Mus musculus: one gene and its partner. The protein of the gene in region 2 purifies or fractionates together with the protein of the main gene of each other region. This does not show direct contact. Links are inferred from orthologs where the notes say so. Each region holds a gene or a part of one and is shown on either strand. Other genes may lie near its edges.

What was found.
Region 1: the proteins of Ncoa4 (region 2) and Ftl1 purify together in Homo sapiens (co-immunoprecipitation; 3 studies listed by BioGRID and IntAct, counting the BioPlex papers as one, with this or other methods). This does not show direct contact. The link is inferred for Mus musculus from reciprocal best matches to the Homo sapiens genes NCOA4 and FTL.

What each region holds. Positions count from the first base shown.
Region 1 is NC_000073.6:45,454,213-45,461,566, forward strand, and holds Ftl1 (ferritin light chain 1), read right to left. Parts: upstream 5,675-7,354; 5' UTR 5,420-5,674; coding exon 5,318-5,419; intron 5,019-5,317; coding exon 4,872-5,018; intron 4,449-4,871; coding exon 4,323-4,448; intron 4,072-4,322; coding exon 3,895-4,071; 3' UTR 3,732-3,894; downstream 1-3,731.
Region 2 is NC_000080.6:32,156,863-32,164,596, reverse strand, and holds the start of Ncoa4 (nuclear receptor coactivator 4), read right to left. Parts: upstream 4,711-7,734; 5' UTR 4,587-4,710; intron 1-4,586. Other genes in the region: Msmb (beta-microseminoprotein), read right to left, coding at 6,401-6,530. UniProt on the Homo sapiens protein: Cargo receptor for the autophagic turnover of the iron-binding ferritin complex, playing a central role in iron homeostasis. Acts as an adapter for delivery of ferritin to lysosomes and autophagic degradation of ferritin, a process named ferritinophagy.

The DNA of each region.
Region 1 (7,354 bases), on a different chromosome or scaffold from region 2:
AAAGGTATAGCAATTGGAGCCTGGCTCAAAGTTCAAAGCCAGCTAGGGGACACGTAGTAACATTCCCAACGCAAAACAGAAAATACAAGAAGGTGTGGCCATCGGTACCCACCAGCCCAGGTTTGTCATCCAGCTACTTGGAAGGATGAGGCAGGAAAGTCACCAGTGTTACCAAGTGAAGATTGCTGGGGACTCCAGCAGTGACGGGTGGAGAGCATGGCTCAGTGGTGGAGCAGGGGAGCTGGGCGTGCCTTTAGGTTTTAGACCCTTAACTATAATCCACCAGAGAAGTGGTTCAGTGGTAGAGACCCTGCCTCGTGTCCACCAGTAATGAGGGGTGTGTGGCTGGGCTTGTGTAGAAAAAATGTGGCTGGACATTGATGGCCTTGAATAAATCCCAAGCACTGGGGAGGCAGAGGCAGGCAGATCTCTGTGATTTTGAGGTCAGCCTGATCTACAGAGTTCTATGACAGCCAGGACTTACACAAAGAAACTCTCAAAAAGCAAACCAGACAAACAAACAAACAAACAAAAAAGTGCTGGGGGTTTATCTGCCTGAAGCCAGGTGTGTAGCCTCTGTCCTTGACGCTGTCTGCCCTCCCTGTCTAGTACTACATGTCTGCGCGCCACATGGCTCTGGCCAAGGCCTTTCCAGACCACTTCACCTATGAACCCCATGAGGTAGATGCGGTAAGTGGAGCCGGGATCGACGCTGGGCCAGGAGTGAAGGGCTGGGGCAGGCTGGTTTGGGGTTGACAGTTAGTGGACACCTCTAGGGACTTAAATGGCACCCATTCATTTTGGTTTGTGCCTGCTCTGGGTATGCAGACCCAGGGGTACCGGTACCCACGACCAGCCTCCGTCCCGCCGTCGCCCTCACTGTCTCGACACTCCAGCCCACACCAGAGTGAGGATGAGGAAGAGCCACGGGATGGACCCCTGGGGGAAGACAGTGAGCGTTATGATGAGGAAGAGGAGGCTGCCAAGGACCGCCGCAACATCCGGGCACCTGAGTGGCCACGCAGGGCCTCCTGTTCCTCCTCCACAGGTGGCAGCAAGAGAAGCAACTCGGTGGACACTGGGCCCTCCAGCTCACTCAGCACACCCACTGAGCCCCTGAGTCCTACCAGTTCCCTGGGTGAGGAGCGCAACTAAGCTCCCACCCCCATCCCATTCCCTGCCTGTCCAGTGCTCCTCTCGCAGAGGGCCTATGCAGATGGGAGGGTGCCTGAACCCCACTCCAGACTCTTGAGTGGGACCCCTACCCAGTGTGGTCCATAGCCTAACCTCTGTTTCAGACACTCCAGCCCTTGAGCTCCAATCTTGGAGTTCCCGCACTCCACGCCGCCGTGCCTTTCTTGGATTGCAGGATGCATTCTTTGTGCACTGATCTGGAGTCTCCAGGCTTAGACTGGGTCCCAGAGGCCAGGCATCTGCCATTGTTTTTCAATGCCAGAGGTTTTAGGACACCTGGTTTATTGGCTTCCAGGCTGTGGCTTCTTCGTTTGATCCTATAATCATACAGAGTATGCTTTGCTCAGGCCTGCCTCTGGGACCACCTCATGTTGGATTCTGTGTGGCTTCCCGAATCAGCCAAGTTCAGAGTTAGGACATTTCAGGGATTAACATAATTGAAAATCAGCCTGCAAGGTAGCTCAGTAGCTCTGTCGACAGATTGCTTGTCTAGCATGCCCGAAGCCCTGGGATCTAACTCTAGAACCTCATAAACCTGGTGCGGTGATACACATCTGTAATCCCAGCACTCGGTAGGTAGAGGTAGACGGATCAAGAGTTAAAGGCCATCATCCTCTGCTACATAGGGAGTTCAAGGCCAAACTGGGCAACATGAGACACTGTCTCAAAAGCAAAGTAAAGGTGGTGGAATGCTCACGGTCCTCCATTTCAACCCACGACTGCGATGCTGGGACATGCTGCAAGGTTGGCCTCCCTGGGTGTGTTCTTCAAAGGAGCATGCGGAGTTGGACCAGACACCTTTCTGCCTTTTTTCTGGACCAGACCTTCTTTTCCTTGGTCCAGTGTCCCCTCTAGGGAATGCCTCCATTGAGGGCAGAATGTCTGTCAACCCCACAAGTGCTCAGCCCACTGTGAAACCACTGGGTTCTGGGTCCCAGTGGCTGAATCAGGAGTCTTTTGTCACTGTGCTGCACCCCGGTCCCCTTTCCTGATACAAAACCGAGCCCACCGGCTTCTTGAAGCCCCACATGTACCTCGAGGCCTTTCTGCCTGCAAGCTTCAGTGAATGGGCGGGCCCCTCCTCACGTGTGCTGTGTCTGGCCCAGTGCCTTTGGTTTGCATTTGGGAGGGGGAGGGCAGAAGGTGTGTGATTGGAGTGTGTCTAGAGATGAAAAAAAAAAAAAGAAAATACACCTGTATTTAAGAATGCCAACTGTGGCTGGACATAAGCTCTTGTGGTGTGGTGGGTCTCTCTTGCTTCCCCAGTCCTGTATTTTAGTTTTTACAGATAGGATCTTGCCTTGCCCCCCCCCCCCCAGATGGTTCAAATTCACAGCAGTCCTATCTCAGCCTCTCAAGAGCTGGCATTACCAGGAGTGCCAGCTTCCCCCAGATTTTGGTTCTGCTCTTACGAGCTCCATAGACTTCTACTCTGTGCAGATCTGGGTTACTGTTCTGAGGTCCCCGTGCTGTTGTTAGGAAAGGTACATCTGACTGCTTAGATTTGAGATCCAAGTGGCAAACACTGGCCCCAGTGACCTTGGGTAGACGGTGGCCGACATGGGGGACCCTTGGGGAAATCACAAATGCACAGGTCAAAGGACCCAAAGCTCAAAGCTTACATGGACTAGAGCTTCTGGGGCCAGCTTGAGCAATTGGTGAGATCTAGCCTGAAAAAGTGAAAAGCCCGGGACAGATGTCCCTAAGCAGAATGTCCCCGCAACACAGTGAGAAACTGGATTCCAGCCGCAGGACTTTGTTCCTGCTTCTCAATGCTGTTTCCCACGTGGACATCGCTGCCAGAATCCCTTTAGCAGGTTCTCCCTGCTTAGCCTCAGTGACCTGTGCATGACTGGAGTTACTGCTCTAACCCCCAACCCTCCCGTTATCAATCTCATGCTTTTAGGGGTGGAGTGGCCTGACTAGAAGAAACCTGTAGTGCTGGGTCATCTTCCTGTCCACATGACTGCTTCCCCAGAGCCATGGCATAATACTGAGCCAAGGGCCTATCATGTGGCTTCATACGACCCTTGGACTTGTTTTAACCAGTGTGAGCTGACACAGCAGTATTGTCCGGTGTTCCACCCCCCACCCCACCAACTTCCCATGTTTCTAACCCCTTTGCAATGGTTTAGTTCCCATTTGGGCAATGGTCCCAAGTTTCACATCCTCTTTTTGATGGGCCCAGCATCTAGTTCGGAATCCAGCAAGACACCCTGGCTCCCCACCCTCGCTCAGCCAGCACCCAGGGCTCAGCTTGCTCACCTCCTGGCCTTCTACTTGTATGTTTAACTCATTTCTGAACTTGGATGTTTAAGCCTTTTCACTTCCCTGCACAGTAACATAAACCAAGGACTGGCAAACTGCTACAGGCTACAGACTCCTACGACCTGGATTTGCCACATGAAAAGGCAGATACTACCACACAGAGATCGCTGTAAGTTATCACATGTGGGTTCCCACAAAAAACAGGAGTACATACAGCCAACCTCTTCTTTCTCGTGCACCCCTCCCACATATATAGAAAAAACACCAGCTGCTGTCTCAAAAAGCTTTATTTTTACTTGGTCCAAGACTTGACAGAGGCTCCAGGGCGGTTACAAAGCTGCCTAGTGGCTTGAGAGGTTCATTCAGGTGGAGGTCCCAGGGCGGGCTGGTGCAGAGCAGAGGGGGGAGCCCCTTGGAAGGTACAGAGGCCTCCTAGTCGTGCTTGAGAGTGAGGCGCTCAAAGAGATACTCGCCCAGAGACCCCTGGGGCGCGCCAGTCTGCGCTGGTTGTGGCCCCGCCACCCTGCGGAGGTTGGTCAGATGGTTGCCCATCTTCTTGATGAGTTTCACCTCCTTATCCAGATAGTGGCTTTCCAGGAAGTCACAGAGCTGTAAAGGAAGGAAGAGACATCAGACACCGAGTTCTAAGAGACAGGTGTGAGCAGGAAGCTTTAAAAAAAAAAAATCCTGCCCTCAAGGGCAGGTAGGTAGGTAGGTAGGTGTGTCCTCAGTACTGTGTGTGGTGCTTCTGCAATCTGCACTCGGGAGGCAGGAGGATTAAATTATTGGGAGCTGAAAGCCAACACACAACAGTCTAGGTTTTGTCAGAGAAGGGAAGAAATGATTAGCAAGGTACTTACATGAGGGTCCGCGCGGGCAGAACCCAGGGCATGCAGATCCAAGAGGGCCTGATTCAGGTTCTTCTCCATGGCCAAGGCAGCTTCCATGGCCTCCTGGGTTTTACCCCATTCATCTTGAGATGGCTTCTGCACACAAGAATATCAAGCCTAGATTACATCCTTCACCCAGCCAATATAAAACTGACTGCACAGGAAAAGTGGGCACAGTGGGGAAAAATAATGGGATACTGTCTTTAATCCCACCACTGAGAGACTGGGCGAGAAGACAGGAGGATCTCTTGATAGGAGGCAACCTGGTCTACATTGTGATTTCCATGCTAGCTAGAGAGACACCGCCTCTCCCCAGCCCAGCAGTCCTCATCTGTATTCTGTAATTACCCCCATTTTCCAGTTTCTGACATCCTGGTGGGTTTAGTTGCTCTACATACTCCTATTGTCTACACTAGTCCTGCCACCACTCCCTTCCAAGACGTCTATCCGGATGCCCAAACTATGGGGATGGCAAGTAAACGCACATGCTCGGTAGTGCCCAATACCCCCGCTTCTTACCTGCACATCCTGGAAGAGTGCACGGCCCCCGCGATCGTTCTGAAACTCGAGGAGACGCTCCGCGCCCTCGCGCTTCTCCTCGGCCAATTCGCGGAAGAAGTGGCCTACGCCCTCCAGAGCCACGTCATCCCGATCAAAAAAGAAGCCCTGCGGGAGGTTACAAATACGAGTTAACGGAACGCGGTGGCTCGGCTCACACTGTAAACTTCAATCGCAACACTCAAGAGGTAGAGGCAGTACGTGTGAGATTTCGAGGGCAGCCCGGTCTGCCCAGCGAGTTCCAGTCAGACAAAACTACTATGTACACAGCGCGCAGGGAGAGGGAGAGGTCGGAGCACAGTCTCTGCCCTGCATGGAACAAAGAAGGCCCGCGCATGCGCAGGAGGGTGGGTGTGATGGACCCCCCCCCCCCCCCCCCGTTCAGAAGGCAACCCCGAGCTGCTCACCAGAGAGAGGTAGGTGTAGGAGGCCCGCAGGTGCAAGTTGACCAGGCGGTTCACGGCAGCTTCCACCTCGGTGGAATAATTCTGACGAATCTGAGAGGTCATGGCTGATCCGGAGTAGGAGCTAACCGCGAAGAGACGGTGCAGACTGGTCCTAGGAGCTGAAGGCAGCGAGGAGATGGTCCCGGAGGCTGCGACTGGAGAGACTTGTAAAGGCGGCTGGAAGCGAGTACAGTGGGAATCCCCGGGTCTGTTCCGTTCAAACACTGTTGAAGCAAGACACAGATCCACGGGACCTCCAAGGCGCTGCTCTAAGTCCCGGGCAAGGAGCGCTCCTTTTATAGCATGTTGACCCTCCGGAGGGAGGGGTGCCCCAGGCCCGAGACTAACCAATCGGCGGTGGCGTGAGGCGGAGACGGAAAAGTATACTTGACCAATCCGGAGCTGAGGGGAACCTCGCTCCCCACCCACCCAGTCCCATGAGATGAAGTCACGGGACTGGAGCGCGAGGCCTTGTGAAATGGAGGCTTGGGGGAGGGGCGGTGGTCCGGATCCGGAGGCGCAACCTGGAGGGGTCGCAGGGTTCTGGGCTCCGGGTCACTGAGACCCTGGGGAGGGGATGACTTCGAGGTCCTTTTCTGGGTGTCTCACAAAAGAGAATTTTGGGGCCTGAGAACATGGATCTGGGGATGGGCTGAGTGTGGGGTAATGTCTGTAAATGCAAAGGGAACCTCCATATGTCCAATTGCACACAATGAAGGGATATGTCACGTCATGAGGAAGTCTGGTATTCCAAAGATTCTAGAGATCTCCTTGAGGGAATGGAAGGGATGCCCAGAAGTATAGGGTTTTAGGTTCACCATAGGAACTAAGATTGTTTGCTTGTTTTTCTGTTTTCTGTAACCCAGGAGGTCGTGAAGCCCTTTGAGGGCTTGGAGTGGGCAGAGAGCCTTGGGTTACCGTGTGTGCACCTCCCTCGGGTGCTCTGGAAGGTGACATGTGGAGGCCCAGACAGGACTTTGGAGTTCTGGTCAGCCTGTCTGTCTGGGTCTGTGTCAGTGAACCTGTCTTTCTAGAAACAGACACGCATGATGGCGCTTGGAGAATTGCTGGGCTCCTTCCTGGAGTTTGGTCCAGAAGCCTCCTTGCAGGTTGCTCTTTTGGAATCAAAAGGCCCGAGAGTTAGGGAGAGCAAGAACTCAGGACCCAGAAACAGACAGTCAGTCTTACGCAGAACAGTTGGGGCATGCAAGGCCCAACTGGACTTTTGAGGACAGGACGGGCTCATACCAGGGTCTAATCTCAGAAGCCTGGGAAGAGAGCAAAGGGAAACGAGCCCAATCATGAAAAGGGGCTAAAGGAAGAAACAGTAAGATGGGTCAAGGGAGCCACGCGGAGCAGGAAGAATGTGCTGCTGAGGCCCTTAGTGGAAGGGGTAGCAAGGCCAGTTCTGCTGAGTCACGCTGAGCTCAGCTAGGCAGTGGGGCGGGCGGCAGGCCACACCCGGGCTGACAGCCAGAAGTCCCCCGGCTAAGGGGCTTGTGGTCTGTTTTCCCTGTGTGGTCAGGCAGCTGTACGGCTCTGGAGTGGCTAGCCTACACGTATCTTTCTCCTGACTTGACGTCTGCGGTGGTCTGTTGATTTGGGGGTCAGAGTTACTCATTAACCACAGTGCTCCAGAACCTGACCTCTGGCCTTCAACCCGACAGGCCTGGACAAGGCTGTAAAGGTGGAAAAAGATAAAACCCGGAAGCCACAGGGGACAAGGAAAGGAGAGAGGTACACAAATTTGAGTGGCAGAATCTCAGACTGGGGGATTGAGGGTGGAACAAAAGACCAAGTCCCCTTAAAATGGCTTCCTCTTCCCTTCTGGCACCTCTGGTAATCCAGCATCTAGGAGTCTGCTCCAGTTCCGGTGGCCTCCTCCCTCCCTCCCTCCCTCCCTCCCTCCCTCCCTCCCTCCCTCCCTCCCTCCCTCCCTCCCTCCATCTTGTCCTTTCAGAATCTGCAGGATCTCTGGAATTCCAGGCTCCTGTCCCC
Region 2 (7,734 bases):
TTAAGCTTTGTCATAATCACAACTTTTGAGCAATACCGCATAAATCATGGTAAAGACAAGTACGTGCAGAACTCTGAAGACGCCTTCACCTATGCCTTTGATGTCTACTGCCAGAACAGAAGGGTGGACATCTCTTATCTCTACTTAATAAACTCATTAACTTGGCTTCACTCAGACTAATTAGAGCATTCTTTCCTGAGGTGTGGTCAGAATCCCTCCAGCCTTACAGAGTGGAGGGAAGGGCCTGTGAGCTGACTCAGCACTCTGGAGGTACTTAGGATTACAGGTATGAGCCCCATCAGACACTTATTTTCTATTTCCTATACATATAAAGTGACTTTGTGGACATTAAGAGTAAAGCAAAACCATGAGAGAAGACTCAAACATCCCAGATCAGCATCACCTCCTTTACCCTGAAACGCAGTTTGAGATCCCAAGTCATACACTCATTACAAAAGGAAGACAGAAACAGCTAGTTCCAGATATCCTGTTTGGATAGCACATTTGGTGAAGATACAAAGATTAAATGAATGAAAAATGTACAGCTCTCTGTACTTCATGTCAGTGGTACATTTAAGCAAGGTAATGCCAGCAGGCTACAGCAGGAAAACCACCCTTCCCATACTGGGCTAGTGAGTTCAAAGCCACCTATATACACCAAGACCCTGTCCAAAAATACCAGGGGAAGGGAAATACAGCTAGTCTGAGTCTTGACATCTCCATTTTAGTAAACTAAGAAGTCCCTCTTTCCACCCTGTCTTGTCCAGCTTGGTTCTCCAAGTTCTTTCTGCCAGCATGCCACGTTAGTCCCTTCTAGCCGTCTGCTTTTCAAGTTATAAGCAATAGAAAGCCTTTCCTGGTCAAATACACGATTCTTCAATATTACCAGGCAATAGAACTGTCATGCTGCCCTCTTGTGCCTACTATCTATACAGGTTTCCAGTAAGAACCCGCTAACACAGTGGTTCTCAACCTCCTACCATAAAATTATTTATTGCTATTTCGTAACTAATTTCGCTACTGTTATGAATCATAACATAAATATCTGTTTTCTGATGCTCTAAAGTGACCCTTACAAAAGGGTCATTGACGCCTCGAAGGGTCAAGACCCACAGGTTGAGAAGCAATGCTTGAATACATGCCTCTCTTGTCAGGCCTGCTTTCTTACCCTGAAGGCTCTCCCAGCTAGAACACACAGCACTATACACACAGCTTGGGATCATCTGTACCTTGGCACTAACAACCTTCCCCGCGTGCTGTATGTGCAACAGAGTTGGCCTAAATAAGAAAAGGACCCGCAGCACTTGTACCAATGCTTGGTCTTGAACCAACCTGTGCTTTAATACATCTTTTATTAATGGATGAATAAATAATGTGTTAATGGTCAAATTCAGAGCAGCTGCAAAATAAATCTTTGTGTTATAAACATAATCAACTTGATGCTGTCCCCTTAAAACCTGTAGTATTAATTTAGGAAAGTAATTTAGAAGAGGACAATGTTTCCAACACATTTTCCCCCCAATATTGGAGGTACAACGCTGAGCTTTGTATATGCTAGACAACACTTTAACTAAGCCACGCCCTAGCCCTTAGTTTCTGACAGTTTCCTGTAGTTCAAGCCGGTCTTGAACTCAGTATTCTGCCTCTTGGTAGACCTTCTGGACTTCCAGAACCCTTGCAACAGCACCCAGAAAAACTTAATTTCTTGTTTTCAAACAATACAGAACTGATGAGGGTTGTCTCCACAGAAATCACAATCCTAGCATGAGTGCTGAGAAAGGCAGTTTTTAAAACTGCCAGACCCAAAAATCTTAGTTCCACAAACTCAAAATAACAATGGGCTTGTTGGTTAAAATGTGCACTGTATTTACAGCCAACTCAACATTTCCCCCCTCAGATTTTGCAGTAAGTACCACAGAAATTGCCTGAGGGACTAGCAATATAGCTAAAGTAAAACTCAAAACATACCTGAATTATTTTGGAAGCTGTAATTGTCCACGTATTAAAAGACTATGCTATACTTACTGACACAAGCTAAGCCCATTTAACCTACTCACTCAACACTAAACCAAAACTGCTCGGTCTGTAGGGCAATCAAGGCAATGCCAAATGGGAGGAACTACAAGCTCAAAAGCCCCAAGTGCAATCCTGGTCCCCCAGAAAAACATGTTGATTCTACCGCGCAATCAAGCCAAGCAAAGCCAACCTGGAGGAAGACAGTCATGAGCACCTGATGAGTGGTTCATGCTAGCTAAAAACAGAATACCTACACAGTAATTATTTAGCTCACTTGCCTGTGAATCTATCTAATTCAGGTATACAGACGATAAGCTTACAAATGATGTCTGAAGTGTTAGATTTAACAGTCACAGAAGGCAAGCTGAGGACAACTGACAGCCCCTCTAAGAGACAAGCATAGAAACAAGAGTACCACTGGTGACACACCTAGAGCAGAAGAGCTCAACTTAGCAACTCTTATAGGCTTAACAGGGTTAAATAGGATACCTGTAGTCACAGGCTTCTACACCCAAAAGTCTGAGTCTGGTTGCCTCTTAGCCTTTTGGCTATGATCTAGTATGAGTCTAAACCCCTCATCTGCACCAGGTATTTTGAAGGGGCCGTTTAAGGTTTATGTAGTCATTCAAGTATTTAAGGTCTTGAACAGAAAGGCACAGTGGTGTTGTTCCTGTGGAGACGATGGTGAATCTGCCATCTAGCAGAACGTTTGTGCCACTGATTCACAGACAACAATAGATTTCTGAAATAAGAAGCACAGGTAAAAAAAGGTGGCTAACAGGCTCAGTGAGTTGCTATAAGTACTGACCGGTGTGTTAACACTGTGTGGGCAAAGGCCCAGAAAGCTAGCTGAGAGACTCTCAAGTGCAGAAGGGGTGTGTGCCGGGACACCCAGAGTTCTATAAGACCTACATACAGATCCCTGGGACACAAGCAACCTGCACTGCTTTCATAAACTGGCCATGGGAGTCAAGTTAACTTCTAAAACTAGATACAAGATGCTTTAAGAAGCATCTTAGTTCATCTGTAGTTCGGTAATTTTCCTCAAAAGAATAACGTAACTGTAGAGACAGACACGTTCGTCATCATCAAACTTCAATCTGAAAACTTTAAATGTCTAGGTTATTTTCCGAAAGGCTCAAAGACCCAAGGGAGGAGGTAAAAAAAAAAGAAAAAAGAGATCTAAATGCAGGGACTGTTAGTGCCAGCAGCTACCCATTATCTCACTTAGCAGAACAATTCTTCGGGCGAGTAAATCTTGCAAAGAGCAAATCACCTGGGTGTGGTGGCACGTACGTCTGTAAACCCAGCAGAGCCAACAGGATCCCTGCAGCCAGTCTCAAGCAAACTAAACAAACCAGGCTGGAGAGATGGCCCAGTGGTTATCAAAGGGCCAGAGTTCAGTTCTTAGGGCCCACATCAGGTGACTCACAATGGCTTGTAAGGGGATCTGACACTCTTCTTAAACAAACAAAAAAATCCACAGAGCAAATCAAGCGACCTGCTGAGCAGTACAAATTAGTCTCCTGTTTGTCACACAGGATGAAATTCTTTCCAATGTTCTAATGTACTTTAAAAGTTCAGAAACATCACAGTGGGATGCTAACGGAGAACCAACAGCCTTACCTGTCCCATACACACCCAGGGAAGTAACTCAAAAGGTCTATGACCATACTCCAAATTACCAAGTGGGTGGAAAGTCAAGTCCTTCCAAAAGGACGCCAGGGTGGCAGGCCCTTACCTACTAAACAACACTAGCAGGAGAGCTGTGTGCAGGAGGGTCAGATAACTCCAGCCCCTCTGACTTGTCATTCTTGAGCCATCCTCCCAAGTTCCAGCCTGTAGCACTTAAACCCATACTGTTCCCACCGCAAGGGCTAAGTCACATCAGGGCCGGGAGCACGTCCACTTCTTTACATTACTATATCCTCAGTACCCTAAGCATATAGCAAATGAACGCCCGAGCTATGAATTAATGATTCTGCAAGCTCTCTCTTCTCATCAGCTGAAGGGACGAATCAAACGATTTAAAGGGACTGCTGGGAGAAGGAAACGGATAGTGGGCCTCCAGAAGTCATTCCACCTTGCCAAACCACTAGGAATAGGGGCAAATGTGCACTGGGTCAGTAATGGAAACCAGGCCCGCCTGGGACCAGAGAAACAGGGCTGTCACCGCTATAAACCCAGAGGACAGTCAGGGCAATGTAGGGAAAGGGATGGAAGAGAAGCATTCAGGCTGCAATCGTGGCCCAGGAACGAAACATGTCGACAGGACAGAGGAGAGAAGACAGATCCAGCGCTTGGGCATGAAGGAAAAGTGGTAGCGTCGGGACGAGGGGAGGGAGAGGAGCTCTGGCCTGGCGCGACGCGGGGACTGGAGAGGCGATCACAGCAGACGTGACCTGGGGAAGGGAAGGGCCATTGGGCCCCGCGTGCAGGCAGGTGGGATGGTGGTCCCGGACCCGAGGGTCGGGAAGAATGGAGGGGAGGGCAGGACAGGCCACAGGCCGGAGCGAAGAAGGGCACAGGGCAGAAGAGGAAGCGCGCCCGCCGGCCACTCTCGTCCTTACCGGCTGGCAGCGCTCCTTCCGGTGATCCGAGCGGACCTTAGACCGACCCAGACACTTAGCCGTGGAAGGATCCGGACCCTGAAGACAGAGTTCTCGCGATAGGATGGCCTCCCTACCACGCTTCTCGGTAGTGTTCTGACAGTCTCGCGAGATTTCCTTCCGCGCCTGCGCAAAGTCTTCTTAGAGCTCAACGTGGAGGCATGCAGTAACACTCCCTGCCCTTAGTCTGGATCATTTTCGTGCCTATCAGTAAGTCTCTAATCCCAGCACTCCGGAGGCAGAGGCAGAGGCAGGCGGATTTCTGAGTTCGAGGACAGCCTGGTCTACAGAGTGAGTTCCAGGACAGCCAGGGCTACACAGAGAAACCCTGTCTTGAAAAAAAAAAAAAAAAGCACTTCCTGTTCTTGCAGAGGACCCAGTTTTGGTTCCCAGCCACCTACAGGATGGCTCACAACCACCCATACCTCCTGGTTCCAGTGCCTTCTGACCTCCAAGGGCACCAGGCGTGCACACGGTACAGATGTATATATGCAGGCAAAAAAGAGTCATGCAAATAAAGAAAATAAACTCTTTTTTTCCTCTGGGGTTTGTGGTGGTTTGAGTAAGAATGGCCCTCTCGGGCTCACGTGTTTGAATGCTTACTGATGAGAAGATGGCTCTACTTAGAGTGAGTGTCCTTGTTGGGGTGGGTGTGGCTTTGGGGGAGGAAGTATGTCACTGGGGGTTGGCTTTGAGGCTTCAGAAGTCCAAGCCAGGCTTAGTGGCTCACTCTTTCTTTCTGCTGCATGTGGATCTGGATGTAGTACTCTGAGCTACTTCTGCCTGCAGGCCACCCTGCTTTATGCCATGCTGATAATGGACAAAGCCTCTGAAATGGTAAAGATGGCCCAGGCAAATGCTTCCTTTTGTAAGAGTTGCCATGGTCATGGTGTCTCTTCACAGCAATAAAACAGTGACTAAGACAAGGCTGATGGGCTTTATAACTTAGGAAAAACATGCTACATTTTTTTTTAAATATTGAGTAAATAAATGTCAGAATTAATGTTACAGTTTCAAGTCAGTGTATTTTAGCTGGTCTGTATGCCACACCTAACTGACCCTAGAGCTAGGCCCCACCACCCACAGAAGTCCGGCTTCTGAGTTTCCTGTCAGACTGCGTGAGGTCTAGAGAGCCCCTTCTCCAGTATCTCTAACCTGTTCTAACCTTATGCAAACACAGTGTGATGTGGGGACTCGATAAAGAGGGGGTACCTAAGTAACTGGAAGGAAGGATAAATGAGAGTACCAGGGACAAAGAAGAAGTCTGGTTTCATCATGAACACACATGCTTTTTTCCATTGTAAAGCAGAAACAGATGGTTCTGAGCCACCATGTGGTTGCTGGGAACTCAGAACCTCTGGAAGAGCTTCGGGGCTCTTAACCACTGAACCACTTCTCTAGCCTAAACCAGAAACAAGATGCAGGCAGAAGAGCCTTATTTGTAGAAGTGGTGGAAATGGATGTGGGCCCCATAGGAAAGCACACATGCATGACACCTGTTGGAGCTCAGGAAAGATGCTGTAACTGGTACCTGGTATTGTTGGGTTGATTTGTTTGGTTGTATAACATGCATTAAGTTAATACAAATATGGTTGGCAAACTTGTTTACTTGTTTACTTGTTTGTTTTTTTATTTATTTGAGTTTTTCAAGATATGCTGCCTCTGCCTTCTGAGTGCTGGGATTACAGGTCACCTCCTTGCAAGCTTATGATTGGTAAATTTAAATCATACAAGGTTCAAATGTTACTCCACTTTTGGGCCCACACGAAGCACATTTACATAGTCCAGCTGTCAACTCGACAGGTCTTCCCTGGGTTCTTCCGATCCACCACACTGTAGGTGCAGTTCTCTGGGTGGAATTGTACATCACAGTTGTCTTTGTCATAGCTCAAAGGCCTAGTAGCGCTGTCAATGAGACAAGAAAAGACGTTAGGAAGGGAGGAAACATTCACCCAGCCCTACTGCTCTGTGCAAGAAGCAGACTACACACATTCCTGTCTCCTGGAATGTAAGGGCATCACTTGGCTAGAAGCATTTGTACCTGTTTGTGCCATGGAGTCACAGAGACCATCCCTAACAAGGGTCCTACATTCTACCCTGCATGCACTGAAGGACACTGGGAAGTTCTAACAGGCCAAAGGCAGGGCTAGGCCGCTCTGGGACGGGAAATCTTGTACTAACCTTGTCTTCCCAACCCTCCCTGTCCAGGGAGTGGTCATCGATAATGGTGCTAGACTGTGGGAAGAGAAGGGTTGTCCCAGCTCTGTGTGGTATCTAGTTAGAAGAGGAGCTCACCCAACCAACAGGGGCAGAGAGCCATCCCAGACCAGGGTCATGGATCCCAGGGAGAAGATAGTAGAAACAAAGCATCATGGGAAAACCCACCTGCACATGCAGGGGCACACGATTTTAGGAGTCATTGCCCTCAAAGCCCATCTATAGGCTTGGGACATGGTGGCATGCAGCTATAATTACAGCACTTGGAGGTAGAGGCAGAAAGATTAGAAGTTTAAGACTAGGCTCTGCTACACAATGAACTTGAGGCCAGTCTAGGCTATGAGAAACCTTGTCTCAGCAAAGCTACAGGCTAGAGAAATGTAGTCCGTGGTTAAAAGCAATTTCTATTCTTTCAAAGAATGGGAGTTTGGCTCTCAGCACCCTGAGGATACCTCTAACTCCAGCCCCAGGGAGTCAACACCTTCTGGCTTTCATGGGTAATTGCATTTCTGTGCGTAGACATCCACGTAGACAATACGCATAAATAAATAATAAATATTTTCCTAAAGACCAAAGAATAAATAAACTGCTCTGGCTAAAGTGTATAAAAGCAGCCATTTCAATGCCCTGTATAACAAAAAAAGACCCAGAATTTTATCCTAAAGGAAAAGGACATCTGATTCCAAGAACATCAGAATTTGCAGCCCTCCCTGGCCATGCAGAGAGACACTGGCAGGAAGTTGTCTCACAATTTACCAGGACACTGGACACTCAACCCAAGCCTACATGGCCCAAACCCATGGGAACATTGTCCTGTGAGAGGAAGGCCCCAGTGACATGTAATCTTCTGGTTTGATTCTTTGTAAAGCTAACAGCAGATTACTTGTAGTAT